3 linked regions of the Oryzias latipes genome follow. The protein of the gene in region 1 interacts with the protein of each later gene in a biochemical or structural test. Links are inferred from orthologs where the notes say so. Each region holds a gene or a part of one and is shown in the gene's direction. Other genes may lie near its edges. The genes, in order: dlg3, gda and cript.

What was found.
Region 2: the proteins of dlg3 (region 1) and gda form a complex in vitro, tested with the Homo sapiens proteins (2 studies listed by BioGRID and IntAct, with this or other methods). The link is inferred for Oryzias latipes from reciprocal best matches to the Homo sapiens genes DLG3 and GDA.
Region 3: the proteins of dlg3 (region 1) and cript form a complex in vitro, tested with the Homo sapiens proteins (2 studies listed by BioGRID and IntAct, with this or other methods). The link is inferred for Oryzias latipes from reciprocal best matches to the Homo sapiens genes DLG3 and CRIPT.

Annotation. Positions count from the first base shown.
Region 1 is NC_019868.2:11,302,576-11,306,904, forward strand, and holds the start of dlg3 (disks large homolog 3), read left to right. Parts: upstream 1-1,485; 5' UTR 1,486-2,331; coding exon 2,332-2,697; intron 2,698-4,329. UniProt on the Homo sapiens protein: Required for learning most likely through its role in synaptic plasticity following NMDA receptor signaling.
Region 2 is NC_019867.2:16,716,875-16,721,019, forward strand, and holds the start of gda (guanine deaminase), read left to right. Parts: upstream 1-1,326; 5' UTR 1,327-1,378; coding exon 1,379-1,507; intron 1,508-2,065; coding exon 2,066-2,154; intron 2,155-2,455; coding exon 2,456-2,627; intron 2,628-2,823; coding exon 2,824-2,911; intron 2,912-4,145. UniProt on the Homo sapiens protein: Catalyzes the hydrolytic deamination of guanine, producing xanthine and ammonia.
Region 3 is NC_019877.2:12,480,862-12,484,959, reverse strand, and holds the start of cript (cysteine-rich PDZ-binding protein), read left to right. Parts: upstream 1-1,285; 5' UTR 1,286-1,398; coding exon 1,399-1,414; intron 1,415-1,617; coding exon 1,618-1,683; intron 1,684-3,055; coding exon 3,056-3,110; intron 3,111-3,258; coding exon 3,259-3,362; intron 3,363-4,098. Other genes in the region: pigf (phosphatidylinositol-glycan biosynthesis class F protein), read right to left, coding at 35-126, 643-870. UniProt on the Homo sapiens protein: As a component of the minor spliceosome, involved in the splicing of U12-type introns in pre-mRNAs. Involved in the cytoskeletal anchoring of DLG4 in excitatory synapses.

The DNA of each region.
Region 1 (4,329 bases):
CCTCTCACTTTCACTGGCTAGAGAAGGTGTGAAGTGGTTCCTGGTTTAAAAAAAAACAAACTAAAGCACCTGACTTCCTCGTGCTTTCGCTCCATGGAGACTCTCTGCAGGTTGGAGTGAAAGAATATCATTCTAATGAAGGGAGTTACTGTTGCATGTAATTAAGTGTGGCTGAGCTTGCTGTGTGTGCCTACTGGTTCGCTGCAGCACCGCGCTGAAGATCCTGATGAAGTTGATGCATAGATTGCATAGATCATAAGATGCATGAAATATCAAGGCAGTGAATGCCTTAGTGAGTGCAACATTGCAACATACAGGCCATATAGAAAGATACTCTCTCCCCCATGCAGACACACCCAGTTTGGATCCCCGTCACATTTCATTAATAATGCATATATGCAGGACTTTAATGGCGACACCGTTACATTCTCTCTCAGCTCTCTGTTATGATTAGCCTTCATCCCCTGTGTCGGAATCCGTTATATCTAGCTGTGATCAACCCACAAATTCACAAGTATGCAAAATGGTTCACTGGCAGTCCTATCACATTACTGCGAATATAACTGCCACAGATACATGAAAGCCATGTAGCTCTCATTCTTTCTTCTCCCCCCCTCGTGCATTTTCACTCTCAATCTCTTCCTCCACCCACTCGAAAGCCAGAGCGTGTAATCTTGTTGGTTTGGTACACATGTGTTGATGTCATCATCCTGAAGACACACAAAAAAATGTTCCTAAAAGAGGAGCACAGTTCTCTGCCTCTGTGTGTGTTTTGACCTGCACATGTGAGATGAAATATTTAGACTCCAGAGGACAACATTGCAAAGCAAAGCGAGGGGATTCTAAGATTTTTGCTGTCCAGAGGCAGGCCGAGTGTTATCCGCAAAGTAAAGGATTTTCCTCTGTTCCTCCCACACCCGTCGTGAGATTATTTACAGATGTGTGCTCTGACACAGAGCCCAAGGTTGACAGCTGACAGCCTCAGAAAGCAGCTAAATCTGCAGCTGAACTGGAGATGACTGGGGATGTGACCAGTGATTAGTCAGAGGGACAGAGTTGCTCATTGAAAGTTGGATTCTGGCTGCACTGGTTTGATGAAAAACACGGATTAAACTCGCAAAGGGTGGATTAGATTTTGCGTCGGGGTGTTATCCCTGTTTAACCGTAACATAGAAATTTTACAGTTTTGTTGGAGATCGTAAATGAAAGGAGCACATGTTGGGTGTTTAATGTGGCAATATTTGTGAAAGGTCCCTTCTTAGCCAATGGCAGAAAGCGATTAAGGTTTAGGTGCTGCTTCCCCTTTAAGAGGAGCTGTGGAAGTGCTCAGTCCTGTTGGTGCTGCTGCTGATGGCAGCGCTGAGAGTTGATTGGCTGCAGCTCTTAGGGCTGAGGTGCTAGAGGGATGCTGCTACGTATTCCTTTCCGCCCCTCCCTTTCTCTCTTCGCCACCCTCTAGCTTGCTCGCTTCCCTCTCAATAATCCACATCTAGGGCAAGCTGGCTGAGAGGCAACCAAGTGCTCAGCTCCTCTGCCGGCTGAGAAAAAGAGGAGAACGAAAGACCATTCTCAAAGCAGGACTAAAAACGTGAGATTTTTTTCAACCAACCGGAAGACAGCCAACGGAGGAAGATTTTCATCTGCGGATATCATTTATTTATACATATTGTTTATATATTTATATATATATTTGTACACACGCATATAGATATATAGATATATATATATATATAAATAATCTATATATATATATATATATATATACATTTATCTCTGTACATATCTGTAATTGTGCTTGTCTGTTTATATGACTATTTTTATATACTTGTGTGTGTAAATATATATATATATATATATATATAATCAGAATAATATATATACATACACACATGTGTGTATGTATATATCTATGAATTTATTTGCGTATCACTGTGAGCCAAGAGAAGCGAGAGGAAATTTTTGTCATCAGGGCTGGTCTCTGATTGCATGGTGGCATACAATATTTAAAAATTTTCCTTTGATCTTCTACGTCAAGAGGACAAAGACTACGTGACCATTTTGTATTTTTGTGTTCCTGTGCTGCTTGTCATCCATCCAGATCGCTCAGTTTTTTGTGTTTTTTTTAACCAGCATCCTAGAGGAATAAAGGCGTCGGTGGTGAGGATTTGATGAAAAGGAGCCAATCTGTAGAAATTCCTGCTATTAGTGTTATCTGTGCCGGCATTAGCACTCTGTGAACCGATCACAGAGGGTTCTGTGAGATCTGAGGAGGCAGCAAAGACAGAGTGCTACGCCGCCCATCTCAGCATCAACCCAGCCAGCACAGCCAGCATGCACAAACACCACCACTGCTGCAAGTGCCCAGAATGTTATGAGGTAACCCGGATGGCTGCCCTGCGTAGGATGGACGCCCCGGCATATGGAGGAGACTGGCAGGCTGAACCCTATGGATACCCACCAGGGTATGGAGGTGGACAGACCTTACCCCCTCCAGCTTCAGGGGGAGGTGGAAGCATGGGAGGAGGAGGGGGAACTTTGGGAAGAAGTAAGGGGAAAATGATGTCTGGAGGAGGCCCTGGAGGCCCCAACCCAAAAGGCCAGTCCAAGAGTGGCCCAAAAGTAAATGGTAACAACTCAAGTGGACAAGGAGGATGGTGGCCTGAGTGCACCTGCACCAATCGGGAGTGGTACGACCAGGTAACCCATCTTCCTGACTTCTTTAACCAATTGAAGCTTTTGGGGCCTGTGTGGGAAGAAGGGGACGTAAATGCAACTGTAGGCTAATATAGTGAAACAGAAGCTGATGATGTATCAGCTGTGTCTGAAAGAGAGTTCATATGGAGTATTTATCTCAAGCCCTCTGGTTCTTTTTTGACAACTGTTGTCCCTCTAGTAAAACAGGAATGATCTGGTTTCACTGCGCACGCATGGAGATGATCGTCATGTTTGGGATTGATGCAAATGACTAATGTTTTAGATTTAACACATCATGTAGATGAAATCAACTAGTCAAAGGCTTGTGCAGCAGCCGCAGGCCCAAACCACTGCTCTATTGGCATTGAAGCATTTCTCAGGTGCTATCAATAGGTTTAGGAAATTCGATGTAAAACATTCATACTTCTAGCAACATCAAATATATGGGTTTTGTATCATTAGACAAGAGGAGGAAATGAGGAATTGGTTTAATGCGGCCTCACTTATATTAGTGCGCAAATTTAGCTTAAAGATTCACAGCCTAATGTATTAGTTGTGTAATACAGATAAAAAACATGTTTCAAAAGGCTGGAAATCTGTCCCACAGAACGAACAAAACCTCCCCTTCCAGCGTTTCCTAATTCATTTATTTACACGTGTTTATGACTTACAGTTGAGGAAAGGTCAGGACGGCTTCAGAAGCACCCTTTAATTAAGCAAGGTGCATGTATGAGAGCACCAGTGATCCTGTGTGGGGGAAGGGTAGCTCGGAGAGCATGAGATTCAAGAAACCGTGCTAGCCGTGCATGAGTATGCGTCTATACGGTCTCTCATTTGCGTCAAGTGAAGCTGGTGCATTGTTTGCATCTCCTCTGCTTTAGTGTGATGGGTTTTTTTTTTGCGAGGAAGAGTTGAAAGAAAGGAGACGAGGAGAAAATGGAGGCTACGAATGTGCAAGCAGAGTGGGAGAGATCTGCTGAGCTGAACCTTCTTATGAGCCTGGCTGATATTAGCAGGCAGGAATTTAAGCTTTTTTGGGGGGCAAAAAGATGAGCATTTGTCCCCGGTTAGAACTGCACCTCAACTCAAGCAGGTGCATTTAATGTTGATGGCATTTAAAAGGTTTCAGCAAGCGAGATTATGTAAGAAATTGTTGCTTACATGCAGACTTTAGAATCCATTAGTTTTAATCTGCAAGGCTTCAGGATTGTAAATTTAGTAGCAATAAAATGTCCTTTTCAACTGCTTTGCGATTAATTTACATTTGATAAGGGTAGCACTGAGGTTAGAAACCTGTGTGGGGTTTTCTAAAGGGTAAAACATCCAGGATTGGTTAATTTTGGGAACTAAATGCATTGTTTTCTTTAATGTTGTTTGTTTCCATGCAGACCTGTGATGGACTGACAGTTTGTCCAGATTGCACGCCTTCCCTTTCTCAATGAGAGCTTGGGTTCTGATGTTTTGTTTTGTATTAAATGAAGGCTTTTTGTTTATACTTATACTTTTTATTAGCACATTAATGAATACATTTTGCTTATATTAACCCACATGGAGCTCCAGACTAGTTGAAACCAGTTAGCGGGTGCAACCTGTCACCATGACAGTACATCCTCTCTCCCAACCATGAATGGGATT
Region 2 (4,145 bases), on another chromosome or scaffold:
CTTAAGTTCTAAATAGATTTATGCTTACTCTTAATTTAGGAAGGTTTCTTACATTTTTTTTAAATAATTGGTCTGCCATTTTTGCCCAGGTGTTGAAACTATTGAAACGTTTATGTGACTTTGATTTGTGAGTGAAGGGGATTTTGAGCTATAGTTGGGTGCCACTGGGTGCCATGCTGAAAGTTCAGCCACATAAAGTCAGATAACTTTTACCTTCCAAAAAAATGATGTAATGTTTTCCATGAAGTAACTTTTACTCAGAAATAAGAAATGTCAGAGAAAGTTCTCCTTTTTCTGCATCAAGTCACAGGATAACCATAAGTTCTGTGCAGATCATCCCTTTGGTGCATGCTAGCATCATCATAAATTCATGTCATTAGTCATGTGGACTTTATAAATATAACAATGTTGTAACTTCAATGTGTTTCTCATAAATATGAATGTGTTGGTCACAGAGGGGTCACATTCCCTTGTTAATGCACCTCACTGGGCTTGTTTTCTGCATATACAATATTATTTGAAAAAGAAGAATCTTTTCCTCTATAAAATCTCTGAATTTCATGTTCCATAGTCATTAAAAATGTTAGCGTGTTCATTTTTATAGAAAAAGAAAAAACGGGTACAATTACACTAAAAGGTGACTATTACATTTTGGATGAAGGCAGGGTACAACCATTCATACAGGGACACATGTAGCTAAATACTCTAAGCACCCTCATAAAGACGTCTTAAAATCTTGAATTTAACATGTTTTTAAGCTGGATTGTTAAATTAAACCTGTATACATTTTAAAAGTACATCACCTAAAGGGTATCAAGTATATGAATGAGAAGCCAGCACCTAAACTTTGGTCATAAATCTATTAATTATTTCACAGATTATTTAATGGTCGGGAATTCTATATCATAAAGTTAATTTTTAAAAATCTGTCTCCCTGTTAAAAATTACAATGTTATGTGCCAATTTGCAAAGCATTTTTAAAGAAAAAAAATAGTATAACATTTTGCTTTATTTATAAAAGGATGTACTTGGAATTACTTTCAGAAGTTGATGGACTTCAACGAGCCTTTTTCATTATGTTCCTGCATATTATATGTTGCCATTCTTATATAACATTTAAAGTTAATGCAAAGTTTGGCATACTCTTTGGAACAATAGAAAAGATGAGGGCTTACTTTCCTGCACGCCAACAAAAAAGCGTTTATGGATAAACCCAAGCCGCGCGGGCAGACGCACCTGAAAAAGCGCAACCACCTCCTGTCCTTCTATTGGCTGCTGGAAGTCCTGCCTCCTAGTGGGTGTTACTCTGAGCTTCACTTAGAATAAAAATCCACCGGCCAATGTCAAACTGAGTGATTGACAGTGATCTGGAGGAAAGATGGCAAACTCGGAGTGTTCCAGCGGCCCAGTTACGCACGTTTTCAGGGGGACATTTATCCACTCGACCCCCGAAACGGCGCTGCAGGTCCTGGAGGACGCGCTCCTGGGAGTGGACACTGCCGGGAAGGTTGGTCCCTTTCTGAAATGAAAATAAAAACAAAACGAAATATTTGCATTTTTGCGTTTCACTGGTTTTAAAAATAAACGAATGTATGTTAATGTTAATTTTCGCAGCATTTGTTTACTTTAAATCCCCGTGAATCTAAAGCAAAGTGCAGGTCTTTTTTTTCAACTGCTATTAATCACATAACCTAATAGTCTAGTTATGGTAAACTTTTATTAAATACTGTTTAAGTTTTTGAACACAATAAAAGGATGAGGCTAAATAAACAGCAAAACTTCTCCCTAGAAAGTAAAATAAAAATTAAGAAAATACTAAAGTTAGTTTTTCTCAGTTTGCACTCAAGCATTATAAAACAATGTTGCAGCATTACTCTGAGAATAGTGCAACAATATTGCCCTAAAATACCTCCTGAGTGGGGATCTTCCAAGTACAGTCTATTCAAAGTGTTATTAATTCTTTTCAAATTTATTTTTACATTGCACAGAATTTTATCAACATTTTCACCTTTCACATCTTGCAATTTTCAAAAAGAATTTACCTGATTTCTTTTTGGCTTGTCAGATTTCTTTCATTGGAAAGGGTGAAAACTTACTGGAACTGTCTCAGAAGTTTGGATTCAACCCATCAGACGTCAATCAACTGGCACAACAGTAAGTCAAATCAAAACCTTTAGTTGTAGATTTACAAGTTTTGATTTTAGTTGATTGGGATGGATGAGTTTGAACACGATCGTCTTGAAAAAGGACCAAAAATGAATGAATGAACTCAACGTAAAGGGGAATCTGCATGGGTAATAGCATCATAATAGCAATAATATTGGTCGGCAAAGACGGGATGTAAAAAACACATCTTTGAAACATAAATGTGCATATCTTGCTTTAAAATATATATTATAAATGAAATATGATTTGAAAAATGCATTTTTTATCTAACTTTAATTTGATTCTGCAGTGAGTTCTTCATGCCAGGAATGATTGACACACACATCCATGCATCCCAGTACAGCTACGCAGGCACAGCCTTGGACATGCCTTTACTGCAGTGGCTCAATACTTACACCTTCCCTGTGGAGTCACACTTCAAGGACTTGGAGTTTGCCAAGAAAATCTACACACAAGTAGTGGTGAGTTTTGGCAAATGGTATCTTTGAGACTAAACAGTCTCAGCATGGCCCTATAACAAAGGTTGTTGGGTCATTTTAGTGTCATAAAGACACCGTATGCTTGCAGTTTTTCATGTGGCCTTTGAGATTTGTAACCTAAACTGTACAGGCATTTAAAATGAGTGTTAATCCATGCTTTGGTTTCTGTGCTTTACAGAAGAGGACTTTAAGAAACGGAACAACAACTGCATGTTACTTTGCTACCATACATACAGATGCCTCTCTTCTGTTGGGTCAGATTGCAAGTAAGATTTCCTACATGCAAACCCACACATGCATTGATCCTTTTAAATATGGGCTTCCTCAAACAGCATGTCCCATCTCCAAAGAGTACACAAAAACACAGATTATTAAAAAAAAGAAAACGTACTTTTAAAGCATAATTTTCAGACAACTTTAGAAACTCATTGTGACGATTTAAGTAAATTTTTCCCACTTTATTATGCAGCACCTCTTCCAGTTGTACAGTATCCGTTAAAAGTAGAGCACCAGCTCAAAGTACAATACAAGTTCAGGTATCTTAACTGTTTTAAGGAGAATTGCTTCTCTCTTCAGTTAAAAATCCTGTAAAATCTGAATGGAGCTTCACCTTTATGCTTTGTCCTTATCAATGTGCTTGCGTCATTCAGAACACATGGTCACATAAATGTGTAACGATGCAGCCGAGCTGAACCAAACATTGGCTTTGACAGTTTTACAGTCATTTTATGTAATCAGGTACATTGAACTCTAACCTTTGTCCTCCTTACAGCTAGCTGTTACTTCTTGAACATCAGTTTTCAGCATTGGTACATTTATTATCTTGCATCCATGTGCTCTTTAAAATTTGTACTTTCGTTTCCCCTTTTGTGCGTTGTATCAGGCAGTTCGACTCGGTATAGCATTCAGAGTTAGATTAAGACAATGACTAAGCATGTAAAATCAGATAAAATTTTCCTTGGTCATACAATTCCTTTCAGAAAATCTGATATAAATGTGCATTCTCTAACTTCATTCCAGATGTTTAGTCACAGTAGCACAAACAGGCGCAGCAACAGCTCTCCACCCTAAGTCACCCGCTGATCATGCACTGAATCGGTGACACTTGGGGAAGCACATCCTTGTTACACACATGCAAAAAGCGTCTGAAAGATTTGTATCTCAGCATCTCAGATGAGGAAGAATACATCCGGCCAGGTTAAAAACAAACTTAATTCAAAACAAATTAACCTGGTTTTAGATTTTTCCTTTTTTTTCAAATTAAAAAAAATAACTAAACGTGCTGTACAAAGGTCTACCACATGCATGCTCAGGTTACTAAAGAGTGGAACAAGGATGGGATTGGGTCTAAAAAGTAAAAAGTAAAAACTAAACTATACTGATAAAATTATTTAAAAAAATATCATTATTAATCAAATATCCTGGGGTAATTAAACACAACAGTGGACTGAAAAAGTGTTGACACTGGAAATGTCATTGCAGGTCATGACAGGAAACACT
Region 3 (4,098 bases), on another chromosome or scaffold:
AACAATTTCAAAGATTTTTTTCTAATAGACTTACTCAATCAACGGGGCTCCATAAAGGACAATCACAGTGTGGAAGAACAGACATGACAAGAAAAAGTACAGACAGGCACGAAACAGCCTGGAAAGCTGTGGAAAGAAACAGGATTATCATTATTACCAAAAAGTTACAACGTAGACATTTGAGAAAAATCCACTTAAAAAATGAACAATTTTTATATGTAAAAGCTCAGAAAAATTATTTTTTTATATGAGTTTGTTGTAGCAGAAAAATGTTAATAAGCAACAATTGCATATAGACTGTCATATGAATTTAAAATGTTTAACGTGAAAATAAAGCACTGTAGCAAATGTTTATAAACTCAATTAAAAATGTGTTCAAATCAGAAATACACATTTCTAATTATTACTGAAACGTCCATTTGCAAATTTGTTTTTTAAAAACGAGACAAAACGTTTACGAGTAAATAATAGGAATTAATTGTTTTGAAAAACCTAGTTTTCTATTATTTTAAATTGTGTAATAATTATTTCTGATACTTCTCTCATATACGTATGACTATTTGGCAAAAACCTTAAACAAATCAAGCACATTTCTTTGGGTTTGGACAAAATAAAGACATTTCCGAGGGAAGACATTCTGACCTTATATCCAAGTGTATTTTTTTTAGTGGACGGTGTGACGCCGAGGAGCCAGAAGACGACGACACTGACAGCATTCACAGCACCGGATGTGCAGTACAGCCACAACAGGTGAGTGCCGTACACCGAGAAGCTTAGAACAAAAACTGCAGGTAGCACCGTAGCCATGAACATCGAAGCGGCGATCAGAGCGTGGGTCGACACCATGGCTCTGATTTCGTGGTCCCACATGATGAAGACTTTCACTTTTCACAACAAGACAATAGAATAATGTAGATAATTTCAGTAGAGGTGTCTTAGAATTTTGGTAGGCGAAAGGACACGCAAATCCATGTATGACTACGCTTCCGTAAATATGAAAAAAAAAAAGCAATTTCCGTTTGCGTTTCACAATAAAACAGAAGATTCTCTTTTGATTGTTAATTTCTACCAATTTCTTTGTTTTGACATACATTACCCAACATATTTAAATCATATTCAACACTTTATAATAAAATACTATTTTCTAAAGTGAAATTTATATTTTCGAGTGCTGATTCCGTGGCGAAAATATTGTTACTCTCATTTTACTTTTATTCTGGATTTTAGAAATGCGCTTCTAGTCGGAGTGAACGAATCACATAACGTTTTACTGACAGGATTACCCAATGAGATTTGTTTGTACAAGTTGACGAAGACAACCGGAAGTTACATGAGCAGAGCTAGCTTGAACGCTTGTACACATTTTATATCAAGACAGGCCAAGTAAACGCAGCTGAGATGGTTTGTGAAAAATGTAAATATCGCACTTTCGCCTTGTTTCTTACATAATTTTACACTTATGACTTAGTTAATATAGTTAGTTAGTGACATTTTTGTTGTTTTGTTGAGTGGCTAATATTTTGTTATGCTAGCATTTGTTTTGGTTTTCCTTGCTCGTAGTTAGCTTTGTTAATTATTAATAATTCTTTGTTAATGTGGGATTTCCTAATATTTTAGGCGAAAAGAAGCTCGGAAAGGTCATCACTCCTGACACTTGGAAGGATGGAGCACGAAATACGACTGGTAACGTAGTCTCTATCCAAAAACATCCAAAAATGTTTACACGTTTAATAATTTAGACAATCGTGGAACGACAGGTAAAATAAATATGTTGCCCCCAAAAAATCTGTCTTGTAAATGAACGTCATTAAGGAATCGAAACGATGGAAGGAGAAGCTACTGCTAAAATATTTATTAGAACAGTACTCATTTACATATCTGTTTTCCCCGTCGGTCGGTCGGTCGGTCGGTCGGTCTGTCTGTCTGTCGGTCTGTCTGTCGGCTCATTTTCGGCCTACATCATAAAATTGTCTATTTATTTAAAAGTATTTATGCCCTACGTTCCTTTTCAAGAAAATGGTCTGTGACCCTGTCGTACCAACTAGGTGTCTCAACTGACTTGACCAATGTCCTCTCAATGGCCAGCAGAGCTAGGCTGCTTAAACAGCCTTAGCCCATTGTGTTTCGGGTGTAGGACTTAAGTCACTTTAAACAGGAGAAGCTCCTTTCTACACCTGCAGATGTAACTCCAATTGTTGCCACTAATGAGAACAGTTTGTAAAGCTGAGGCATTGGACTGTCCAACTCCATGTCTTTAAGGAACACCAAGTAATCATACAGCTTTCCCCTGTTACCCTGCAAGTCCTGATCTGAAAACAGGACTTGAAGTTCTGACCTCAGTCTTCCTGAATCAAAGGGAAGAATTAACTATCTAAAAAAAAATATTAAACTCTGTAAAACTGAAACAATCAATGTGGTGTATAATTGTGTGAAATGTATGATGAAAATCAAGCAATTTAGCCCAGCAATTATCAAAGAAATAGGTTGCAGCAGTTTTTAGTTCGACTGAACTTGAGAAATGTGAATAAGCGAAAAGCTTCAGTCAGAAGGCGGTCTTTTAACAGACCCTTCAATCATCACGGAGAAGCTCGGAGTTTGGGCTGGCCCACTCCCCACTCACCCCCAGAGACGCTGAGCATCCGTTGGCGGGACATAATCACAGCGTTTATCCAATGACCATCTAGTTTCGAAGCGCAGAAAAAAAATGTTCAAAGCAGCCCGATTGAAGTCAATGGACGCTGGGCTTCTTTAGAGAAATGCACTGTGATGCTGCGGGAATGTATGAGAAGGAAATCGAGTCAGGCGACTTGCTATATGTAACTGATTCTTAACGAACTCGTCTTTGAGATGAACGTTTTCTTACACATTTTTAGTCAATAAAATGTTAATAAAATAAAATACAATACAATACAATAGTACATATTTGACCATTTATTTTGTGACATTATAAGGGAAGCAGAGCTTCCCTTGCAGTCTTAAAGAAATCGCCACTGGTATGTATGTATGTACATACATGTGTATATATAATCTCACAATGTTGTTTTATTTTTCTTAGAGAGTGGAGGCCGTAAACTAAATGAAAACAAGATGTTGACATCTAAGAAGGCCAGGTGAGTATTGCACTGTGAAAAAACTTTTACTCATAAATCAAATGGCAGTGTAGTAGTTTCTAGCTTTCTGTAAGCACTAGTGGTTTATTTTGCTGTTAAGGTTCTTTGATGTTGCTAATTCTCAATGTTTAACTGTGGTTTTTCTCAGGTTCGACCCTTACAGTAAGACGGGCTTTGCCATCTGCAGAATCTGCAAGAGCTCTGTTCATCAGCCTGGATCGCACTACTGCCAGGGCTGTGCTTACAAGAAAGGTATAGTTGTGCACTTAAACTCTATTTTTATTTTCTTCAATACAAATTGAAGGTAACATGTCAAAAATTAACACTACAATGTATTGTAGAACCAAAAATCATATTAAAGCAGAACAGTATTAAGTAGGTTTTTCATTTTTATGTTCAGTCATAATATTGATATAAATTTGTCTGTAATTTTGTAAATCTTTACTATAACCAACATTGTGCTGGCATATGTTTGTGCTTCCATAACAGATGCCCATTTATATAAATGTACACATGTTGGCAAGTCCTTTATTATCTTCTCACTACACACTTTAATTTATAAAATATCCTTTGATGTAAATGTAATTTTTTTAGGGTTCCTGGTGACTGATACAAAGAATTTAAAGGTATAGGAATAGGTTAACTTAACTGTTTGTTTATGTCTGTAAAGTATTTGAACTGAGTGATGAAATTCAAACCTCAAAAGCCATATTTTTACAAACCTCGACCCCAGCCCCAAGCACTCGGCTTGCAGAAGTGGATACAAGGTTTTACATTGATTGCAGAATTGCATGTTGTGCCCCAAATATTGCAGGTTTTGATGAAGTGGTCAAAAATAGCCCCTGAGCTAAAAATTATGCCTGAATATATGCACAACCCAAACTGCTGTGAAACAACAACTAAATGGGCAAAAATAAAATATTTATTTATTGAGATGTTTGTCAAACTTTGCTATTCAAGTGAAACCCAAAGGCTCAAACTTACCGGG